2 linked regions of the Arabidopsis thaliana genome follow. The protein of the gene in region 2 interacts with the protein of the main gene of each other region in a pairwise test. Each region holds a gene or a part of one and is shown on either strand. Other genes may lie near its edges.

What was found. Proteins that work in one complex are often made in the same cells at the same time.
Region 1: the proteins of AT4G20930 (region 2) and ATARD2 interact in a two-hybrid assay, tested with the Arabidopsis thaliana proteins (one large-scale study listed by BioGRID).

The regions. Positions count from the first base shown.
Region 1 is NC_003075.7:8,424,203-8,428,647, forward strand, and holds ATARD2 (RmlC-like cupins superfamily protein), read right to left. Parts: upstream 2,270-4,445; 5' UTR 2,159-2,269; coding exon of another isoform or gene 2,141-2,158; exon of another isoform or gene 2,074-2,140; 5' UTR 1,973-2,073; coding exon 1,949-1,972; exon of another isoform or gene 1,811-1,948; coding exon 1,699-1,810; intron 1,624-1,698; coding exon 1,529-1,623; intron 1,343-1,528; coding exon 1,228-1,342; intron 1,151-1,227; coding exon 1,026-1,150; intron 946-1,025; coding exon of another isoform or gene 943-945; coding exon 872-942; intron 759-871; coding exon 695-758; 3' UTR 501-694; downstream 1-500. Other genes in the region: ORC1A (origin recognition complex 1), read left to right, coding at 1-463; PPD1 (TIFY domain/Divergent CCT motif family protein), read right to left, coding at 2,882-2,889, 2,973-3,160, 3,226-3,289, 3,481-3,540, 3,907-4,003, 4,092-4,182. UniProt on the Arabidopsis thaliana protein: Catalyzes 2 different reactions between oxygen and the acireductone 1,2-dihydroxy-3-keto-5-methylthiopentene (DHK-MTPene) depending upon the metal bound in the active site.
Region 2 is NC_003075.7:11,197,640-11,203,016, reverse strand, and holds AT4G20930 (6-phosphogluconate dehydrogenase family protein), read left to right. Parts: upstream 1-1,910; 5' UTR 1,911-1,980; coding exon 1,981-2,094; intron 2,095-2,405; coding exon 2,406-2,494; intron 2,495-2,600; coding exon 2,601-2,715; intron 2,716-2,901; coding exon 2,902-3,052; intron 3,053-3,181; coding exon 3,182-3,264; intron 3,265-3,395; coding exon 3,396-3,491; intron 3,492-3,622; coding exon 3,623-3,765; intron 3,766-3,867; coding exon 3,868-3,952; intron 3,953-4,059; coding exon 4,060-4,139; intron 4,140-4,302; coding exon 4,303-4,390; 3' UTR 4,391-4,766; downstream 4,767-5,377. Other genes in the region: GHR1 (Leucine-rich receptor-like protein kinase family protein), read right to left, coding at 1-289.

The DNA of each region.
Region 1 (4,445 bases), 2.8 Mb from region 2:
CGCGCTTGAGATATGCAGGCGTGCAGCGGAAGTAGCGGATTACCGTCTAAAGAAGAGTAACATATCTGCAAAGAGTCAGCTGGTGATTATGGCAGATGTTGAAGTAGCCATTCAAGAGATGTTTCAGGCACCTCATATTCAAGTTATGAAGAGTGTATCGAAACTGAGTAGGATCTTCTTGACGGCTATGGTTCATGAGCTTTACAAAACAGGAATGGCAGAGACAAGCTTTGACAGAGTAGCAACAACAGTATCGTCTATTTGCTTAACCAATGGTGAAGCTTTTCCCGGTTGGGACATTCTTCTCAAAATCGGTTGTGATCTTGGTGAATGCAGAATCGTTCTTTGTGAACCTGGAGAGAAGCACAGATTGCAGAAGCTGCAGCTTAATTTTCCAAGTGATGATGTTGCTTTTGCATTGAAAGACAATAAGGATCTTCCATGGTTGGCCAATTACTTGTGATTTTTTGCTAGTTTAAGGAAAACTTTGGAGAGATTGATAATGTAACACAGTTTGATTTCTGGAGTATAAACTATAAATACAGTTACAACACAACCATAATGCCAAAGCCACACGAATCAAAGTTTCTTCACAAGTGGATCTGTAGATGACATAATATCCAACATGAGACAGAAAGCTCTCTTTATTGTATGCTTAGTTTATAGAAATCTGATGCATAAGACTGAGAATCCTCTAGGCTGACGCGTCTATGACACCACCTTCATTCACCTTCACGAAATTATCGATGTACTCTTTCCTGTAAAATAGCCGTTTCGATATCCATAAACAGCTTTTCTCGTGTCTTTTCTTGGATGAACTTTTGCAGAGTAAGTTTTTGATGAGACAAAAGGGGAAAACAGAACATTGTACCTTGCAGGGAGGTGGTCGTGTGGGCGATTGTATGGTGTCCAGACCGGTTCACCCACGAAAAGCCGCATTGCCTGCTCAACAAGATATTTCAATTTTCTAATCAACCAAATATATATATGATGAATTAACCACTCTGAAGAAGCTAACATTGCACCTTGATATAGTTGTCTGAGTCTACGGTGAAGCGATGATATATTCCAGCAGGTAAGACTATCATACCTCCCTTCTTTACCCATACTCTAATCCAAGCTTCATTGCGATCCCTCACATCAAAGTAACCTTTTCCCAAGAAAATGAAACGTTGAGAATATAGATACCGACTTAAATCAAGTAAAGCAGCCAATAAAAGTACTTACCGCTTCCTGCAACGCAGTAACGGATCTCTTCATCAGTGTGCAAATGTTCTTCGAAAAAGCTCTTCACTTTCACTTCATAGTTTGGAAGCTTTTCCGGGCATACCTCACAAAAGTCCTGCATTTTGAACACTTTTCCATCATCAAACCAAGACTCAAGCACATAAAACAATTTGCAAATCATCAACGAATTTTCCTAAATACATTCAGTAGAGTAAGTGTTACAATTGAGTAAAACCCTAGAGAGTTAAAACAAGACTTGTTCAAAAGTAAACATCTAGCATTCAAGTCTATATAAACAAACCATGTAAGAGTAACCACGAGATTCGCGGATCTTTTTCAAATCCTCATCGGTTTCATAGTTATCAGCATCAAGTCTCCAGCTAAGTACTCCCAGCTCTGCACACAAACATTACATCTGAAACAAATAGAGAAACAGAGAGAAGAACACTGAATTGAAACACACAAAGAGACCTGCAAGTTTGTCCAAAGATAGAAACTCCTTAGGATCCTTGTGGTGAGGAAGTCTCTGATCCTCTTCGCTATCATCCATATACCATGCCTGGATCACTTCTTCTCTTCCATCCTAAGCAAAAACACACATACACAAACACAACAAGAAAACATAAATTTATGATGCTAAGCTTGAAAGAGAAACAAAAAACGTTCAGCAATTAGTGAAATTTTCGATTGCAACCTCCAAGACAAAGCCTGAATTTCATACACAACAAGTGAAACTAGAAAACATCAAATTTGATGATTAAAATAAAACAAAAATCAAAATTGGAATAGTGATCAGTGATTGAAGACCACTTAATTAACAATCGGCGGCGATTCATGTTTTCATAGCTGAAACAAGAAATTTTCCGATGAGCTTTCACGAAATCAGAATCAGAAGCAAGAGATTTACGATTACCTTAACCACTTCACCCATGGTTGTTTGTTCCTCTTCTTCTTCGTCTTCTTCGTTAGGCTTTTTATGATTCCTCTTCGTCTTCAAATCCACGCGATATATGCCTTCTCTCCTTTTCAAAAGAAGTCATTTTCGTTTTATCTTTTGGGACAAAAACAGAGAAAAAGGTTAAAAGACTAAACTACCCTCCATCCGCCGGCGTGCGGCGAGGGAAATGCCGCCTCCACATATATCCGTTTCAGACTATTTATCACATTTTTGAGGTTTGAGAAAATGTAAATACGTTAGTTAGAGTGGTAATTATTGTAAAAAAGTTAACAAAGTTAAAAGTTAAAAACTGGGTTAAAAATGGACAAAAGAAGAGAAGTTTGGTGGTGTCAAAGTAAGACTCGAGTCGAGAGTAAGAAACACTTTGGCTAAAAGGTCTCTCTCGTTAAAAGTGTCAAGTAAGACATCATTTACACATTACAACACCTAGAAAATGAAAGCCCTTCTTTCACCTCTCTTGTCTCTACTCTCTGTGACTATATCCTCACAAAAAGAATCAGAAACAAGAAATTACCACTAACCTACTAAGCTCTACTCAAAACTATAGACCAAAAATTATGGGTGCAAAACCCCGGAAACACAAAAGAAGGCCGATCCGAAGAGAGGTTTCTTTTCTTCATATCTTTGAGCTTACAAGCAAGCAACTGTTTCAACGCCTATTCACAGCTTATAGCATCTCCACGTTTCGGTATCTTGTTAAATGCCTGGAGACCAAGCGAGGAGAGTTATGAGGGAAATCATCCAAACCACTGATTTAACAAAGCTTTATATATGATTCTCTTCTTACCTTCACTGTTTAGATCAACTGAAAGATTGGGACTTTTTGTCTGGCTTTCAGGTGACTGGCTATGCAGTGGAGATCCGGTGCAGCCTAGGTTTTGCGAATATGCAGCTTTCATCCGTGGCTGACAATTCAGAAACATCTCCAAGCTAGAGGACGCAACTCCTGGACACTTTTTGGCCTTTGAGAATTTTCTGCACATTACGAAAACATATCAGTTTATAGCGATTTTGGAATAAGCGTAAGTATATAAATGCACCTGTCTTTCCGCTTTTCACGATATCTTTGCAAAGATACCTTTCTGTTCGCCTGGCCCTCCATACCTTAAGAACGACCCAAAAAACATAGAACGACGGTTAGATTAATAAACTTCACAGGTCATATAACATGCAGAACAACAAGCAAGCCAAGTTTCCTCCAAGTTAACAACATTAGCATAGCTTTGCACAGGTGAAGATGTGTTGATCAAGTTTCGCTCCGAGAATCATTAAGGTAATATGAATACTGTTCATACCAGAATCACGAGAAGAATTCGCCTTCTCAAGGCCTTTTTGGGGAAGTTCCATCATCTTCTCTGCAATAAGATTTCACATTTTCAATTTGATTTTTGACTAATTCAAACTAGACTCTGAAGAAGGAAAGTGGAATCACTATCACAAAAACATGCAAGAGGCATTTGGATATTTTACGCAAGGTAGTATAGCACAATGCAACATTTAGACATACTTCCTTGGTCAACTACCCATGCCTCCTTTCAAAGTTGGACAAAACAAAAGCAGTGTTTGCAAGAAGAGAAAATAAATAAAAAAGCTCTACTGCGTCAGAAAAGCTGGTCCATGAACTTTTTCCAGTTTGATGATACACAAAACAAAATCATTTCATGTTTGAATCATCTATCTATCAACTGAAAAACAGATCAGACACTTTAGCAAAAGCTTACCTTTACTTATGAGCTTTGAAATCATTCTACTGGAAGCAAAAATACCGTTTTCAGGCAAATCAATTGGATTGGCTGCAAAGTGCATGATTGACCGGGCCTGCAAACCAATACAAAGGATGAATGATCAAAAACATGCCAACAAAATTTCTATTTTCAGACTGGACAGAATAATGTTATTGATTTACCTTTTCAGGTGGTATTCCATCATACACATTCACTTTTCCACTATAGAATATCGTCATTTGCCCAACGAGCTCACTTGTTTCAGCTGGGCTTCTGATGCAAGATTACAGACAAGAATGTTTAATATGCTTGTAGAACAACAGGCACATGCAGCAAAACCTTTTCTTAAGCTTTCGTAGATGGACTAGGGAAAAAACCCTCTAACTTACAAAATATCATTAAGGAATTCAAGTAACTAATTATTATTTCAAGTCACATCAGTCATATTGACTATTATTTTCCATTTCTAAAGAGATCCAGGATACTAAGACATAACGAAGATGATCTTCGATCACACGATCGTGGCCAACCTAAAT
Region 2 (5,377 bases):
CATTTGGCAACACACCAGAAAGGGAATTGTTTGACATAGATAGCTTGACAAGCTTTGTCAAGTTGGAGAACAGACTGAAATCAGCATCAGCAGTCAAACCCAAATTATCCAAAACAACACCAGCCACATTACCGCCATTGCAGACAATACCATTCCATGAAGAAGGACAACCATTGAAGTCAATAGACTCATCGTTCCATGAATTAAGGACAAACCCTGTAGGGTCATGTTTGATGCCTTTCTTGAATTCAAGCAATGCCATGATGTCCTGTGATGGAAGTTGCCCCATTGCAGATAGAAAAAACATGGAGAGTAACAAAATCCTAGAAAGATTCATCCTTCCTTGACTTCAAATCTTTTCCCCCAAAAAGCTACAGTTTTTGAAGAATCCCAACAACTTTTCCAGCTCACCAACGCAGAAAATTCATGGAACCCCAAGTAAATCTGACATAAAACATAATGAAATAAGACAAAACCCATCAATGTTACCAAAAAAAAGTTTAAATCTTTCTGCAAAAATCAACAATACCAGAAATTTCACTCTGATAAAAAAAAAAACAGAAGCTAAAGAAAGAAACTTTACCTAAGATGAACAAATCTTCTGAGAAACCCCAATCAAACAAAATGCAGTAATGCTACTGAGTGAGAAGAGACAATCTTCACTCAAAGGGAATCAGCTGAAAAAAACATTAAATGAACAAATGGGCTATTCAATATTTGGGTCCCATTCCGAGATCTAACCTAACTCCAAAGCAAAGAGATAAATGAAAAGTGAGGATTTTTAAACTTACGGGGATGAAAAAAGCTTCTCACTGCAAGAACAATGTCGACAGAGTTGAAGAAGAAGGAAGACAAAAACTTTAAAGCAGAATCATTTTGTTCATTAGCTCATGAACTGCACGGGGTTTTGGATTAAGCTCAACAGTGTTGTAGACTGAGTCACTGAGCTAACTGAGGGAAATCTTTGTGGGTCACTTTAAAAATTAAAAACCCTTAAAAGATTGTCACTGTTTAAGAACAAAAGAAAGAAGCCAAAACAAAATTAAAGATAGAGAAAATGTTTTGCTAGTTTTCACGTTCGACAGTGACGAACGACAAGGACCTTGTAAAAGGGTAAGTCTTGAAGCGTGTGAACGGACACCAAATCAAAAACCCTAAATAAAAAGTAAAATAGCAAGAAATTATTTTCATGGGTTCACGAGAAGAAAATTATATATTAATTTACTTTTTCATAGTCTTTTCAGTGAGGAAAGATTTAAAATATAGTTTAATTACCCGCCTGGAATGGCCCGGGAAAGGAATCCAAAAAAAATGAAAAAAGCTACTTACACTAATGTTTTTAGTGAGTGTGACCATGGTGGACGTGAAAGGGTTTATCCAATATGGTTATGAGTCTATGTCCTTGCCTTTAGTGAGAGAGATTTACAGCATTGGGAAAATAAGCGAAAATTGCGCAGTGTTCTAATAAATTTTGGTAGAAACTTGCAATAAATGAATTTACATAAATAAATAATAGGGAAAATAAAAAGAGTAATGAGAGTTCGGAGTGAATGTTATTTACACCAAAATACAGATATTAAAAGCTTGCAAGGAAAATGTGTAGTAAATGAAACATGATTTTTTGAACAATCCAGAAAAAATAGTAATGAATATTCGGACAAATAAATATTTTTGAAGTTGATACCACATTAATTAGTAGGAAAATGTAGAAGCGAAATAAATACCGCGTAGGAAAATGGGTCCCACATGCTGACTACGTTGACTAGGGAAGACCGGAAGAGACAAGGGCATCAGACCAATTATTTGGGTTCTACTGATAATGTTGAAAGTAAATGTCCGGGTTCAGAATAAATTAATAGTTAAGGGGTCATAATTCAAAAAACAAAAATCTGAGTGTTTTGATGAGATTACACACTTACGTCTAAAACTCACTCTCATTTGCTAATTGTTAACTTGCTCTGAGTTTGAAGAAATTCATCAATGGCGATTCGCAGAGCGCAAACTCTACTTTGTCTTTCTAAATTCAAAACCAATTTCGTGTCTGGGTCGCTCCACCGGTTCTCTTCTTCGTCTCAAAATTCAAATCAATTCCAGGTTCTGCTTTTTAAATTGTCTTCATGATCAGAAAACATAATCTCTTTTCCTCATAAGTCACCTAGAATTTTATTGAAACGTTCTAAAACATGATCCTTAAGGTAGTTGGAATAAAAGATCTTAACTTTTGTAATCTCGAGCATAGTTAATAAGAATTTTAGTGGCCAAATTGCTTATTGATCTTGACCACTTATCTAAATTCATCAGTTCTGCAAAAAAAGTTGTCTGGATTAGATTTTTAACAGCAAAATTTGTCTGATTCAGTACCCAAAATTTATGTAAATGAAGTCTCATTTTTGCTGTTTTGTCAGAATGTTGGTTTCATAGGACTTGGAAATATGGGATTCAGAATGGTGAATAATCTAATTAGAGCTGGATATAAAGTTACCGTTCATGACATGTAATGTACTTTGAGTGCGTTTTGCTGCCTATCAATTTTCATATTTGGTTAATGTTGATTCCTTTGATTAACTTTCTTGTGCATATACTTGTGTTTGAATTTTCAGAAACCGTGATGTTATGAAAATGTTCACTGAAATGGGAGTCTCTTCTAGAGAAACTCCTTATGAAGTTGCACAAGATAGCGAAGTTGTGATTACAATGTTGCCTTCATCATCTCATGTAAGTTATTTACCTTTAGCAATAGTTTTATATGAAAACAGTTTGAAAGATCGTCCTGTTAGCTGTATGATTAGCTGCACCTAGTCTACGAGATAGTATTGTTGTTTACTCCTGGTACTGAAAGAATGTTAATCTTCAATTGATTGGATGATTTTTATGAAGGAAAAAAAATTGTGATTGATGTAGGTGATGGATGTGTACACAGGAACAAATGGGTTGCTTCTTGGAGAAAATGATATAAGACCTGCTTTGTTTATAGATTCATCCACTATTGATCCACAAACAACTCGAAAAATCTCACTTGCTGTTTCTAATTGTAATTTGAAAGAAAAGAGAGGTAAAGCTTAGATAGGATTTGGAAGGAAGTTAGTTTCTTCTTATGAGTTAACAACAGCTTCATTTTGTTCTTCTTGTGAACAAGTCGAGATTGTTTCATTTTCACTAGTTTCAAGCATCTTTGATGTAGATAATTGGGAAAAGCCAGTCATGTTGGATGCTCCCGTCTCTGGAGGTGTTCTTGCTGCAGAAGCTGGTACACTTACTTTCATGGTATGTTGACGACTCTCTTATCTTCTACATTATTTGAATCACATCCTTTATATAACATCAAGTTTGAAGATTATGTGTGCTTGTATACCTACAAGAGCACAATGGCATTGATACAACTGCACGTTCTGTAGGTTGGAGGTCCCGAAGATGCTTACTTAGCCGCTAGACCAATACTTCAGTCAATGGGCAGAACCTCCATCTACTGTGGTGGTTCAGGAAATGGATCTGTAAGTTCGCTTTATACCATGTTTCCGTAACTCTGTTACAGTATCTCTATTATCTTGATCTTTGGTATATTTGTCTCTACAATTCTTAAGGATAATAGACTGAGAAACGACATGTTTTGTTTTAAACTTAGGCCGCAAAGATTTGTAACAATCTGGCAATGGCCGTGAGTATGCTCGGCACTTCAGAAGCCTTAGCTCTTGGTCAGTCACTTGGAATATCTGCCAGTACTTTAACAGAAGTCTTAAACACATCTAGTGGCCGTTGTTGGAGCAGGTAAGTAAATGAAATGACCTCTTCAAATTTATAATCGTCTTCTCATCAAGAGCAAGCACACCAAATTCTTAACTTCCTTTCCTTATATTATGATAACCGCAGTGACGCATACAATCCAGTTCCAGGAGTGATGAAAGGTGTGCCATCTTCAAGGGATTACAATGGCGGTTTCGCCTCCAAACTTATGGTCAGTTTCTTAAGAAATCTCTATATCATTGATCCTGTAAAATGTCTCTAAAGCACATTTCTTTTGTTACACAAGTCTTTCATGTATATAGTGTATTGGAAATGCAGGCTAAAGACCTAAACCTCGCAGCAGCCTCAGCTGAAGAAGTTGGACACAAAAGCCCATTGATATCCAAAGCACAAGAAATGTGAGTACTTCAGTAGTCTTTTCTCCTAGAAGCTCTATTCCTTATGAGTTGTTGTGAACAAAGAAGGCTTGTGAATGAAACTTTATGGAAACAACGTAGAAATTTCTTATGAAGCAAAAAGCACACACATCAAGCTGAAGATTTTGTTTTTTTGTTTTTGCAGTTACAAGAAGATGTGCGAGGAAGGACATGAAACGAAGGACTTCTCTTGTGTTTTCAGACACTTTTACAATGGGAAAGATGAGGTCTGAGACAATCTTAACAACGACCCTGCAAAATAACCGGTTTCTTTGTGCATTTAGATTGTTGATTTTCATTGCTAAGAATAATAAAAGTCTTGGAAAGGCTGTGATGTTAATAAGCGATGTGAATTGTAATTAGTTTGAGAACATCTCTCTGGTGTTGAACATTACTCTTGGAATCACCAATCAATTAGTTATGAGGTCAGCGAAGAATAAAGCATGAAGGATCCTATAGAGAGGATTAAACAAAGCTCAGAGTCAAAGTTCTAAACTTTTCTTTTACCCGGAAAAAAGTCAACAACAATTCAAACAATAGTCACCTATGGTGTAATTACATTTCTTAACAGTGTTACTCGCTAACCAATCCGTAAATATACCATTTTCCTTATCTATATTCGTATTTAATTTGATTATTAATCATTCTTGGCTATTTACCTAAAGTTAATGAAGATTCACCTTCGTCACCAATGAGAGAACCAAACCATTTTTGCAGAATCTCCGGTACAATTACGGAAACAGTTGTTTGTGTTAATATCTACAATGTGAAATGACTACAACCACCCTCGCTTTCTTCAGCACACCGCTACATTTGAAATCTCCCAACTTTTTTCATTCTCTCTGTTGCTCAAACTAGTTTCCCTCAACACTCAAAGGTACGTCTTTGATCCTTCTTCTTGTGTTTCGCTTCGTTACTTATGGGTTCTTTCTGAAATTCGACTTCATCACACCATCATTTCTGTTTATGACAATTCGTTCCTCGTAATGTTACTTCAACCTCTACCTGTTTTTCTGCTTCATTCGCGCGAAAAATCGTTGCTTTTGACTCATGTTCCTCTGTTTCATCTTACTGTTGTCTGTCTTAAAACCTGAAGTCTCCGAATTTAGGTCATCATCTTGTATCTCTTTCAAAAACCCTAGTTTTTTGGGGTTCTGTGCAGTGAGCAGCCGTACAGTTTGCACTGAAGTTACCATCTTTCATGATCTTTGAAGTATCTA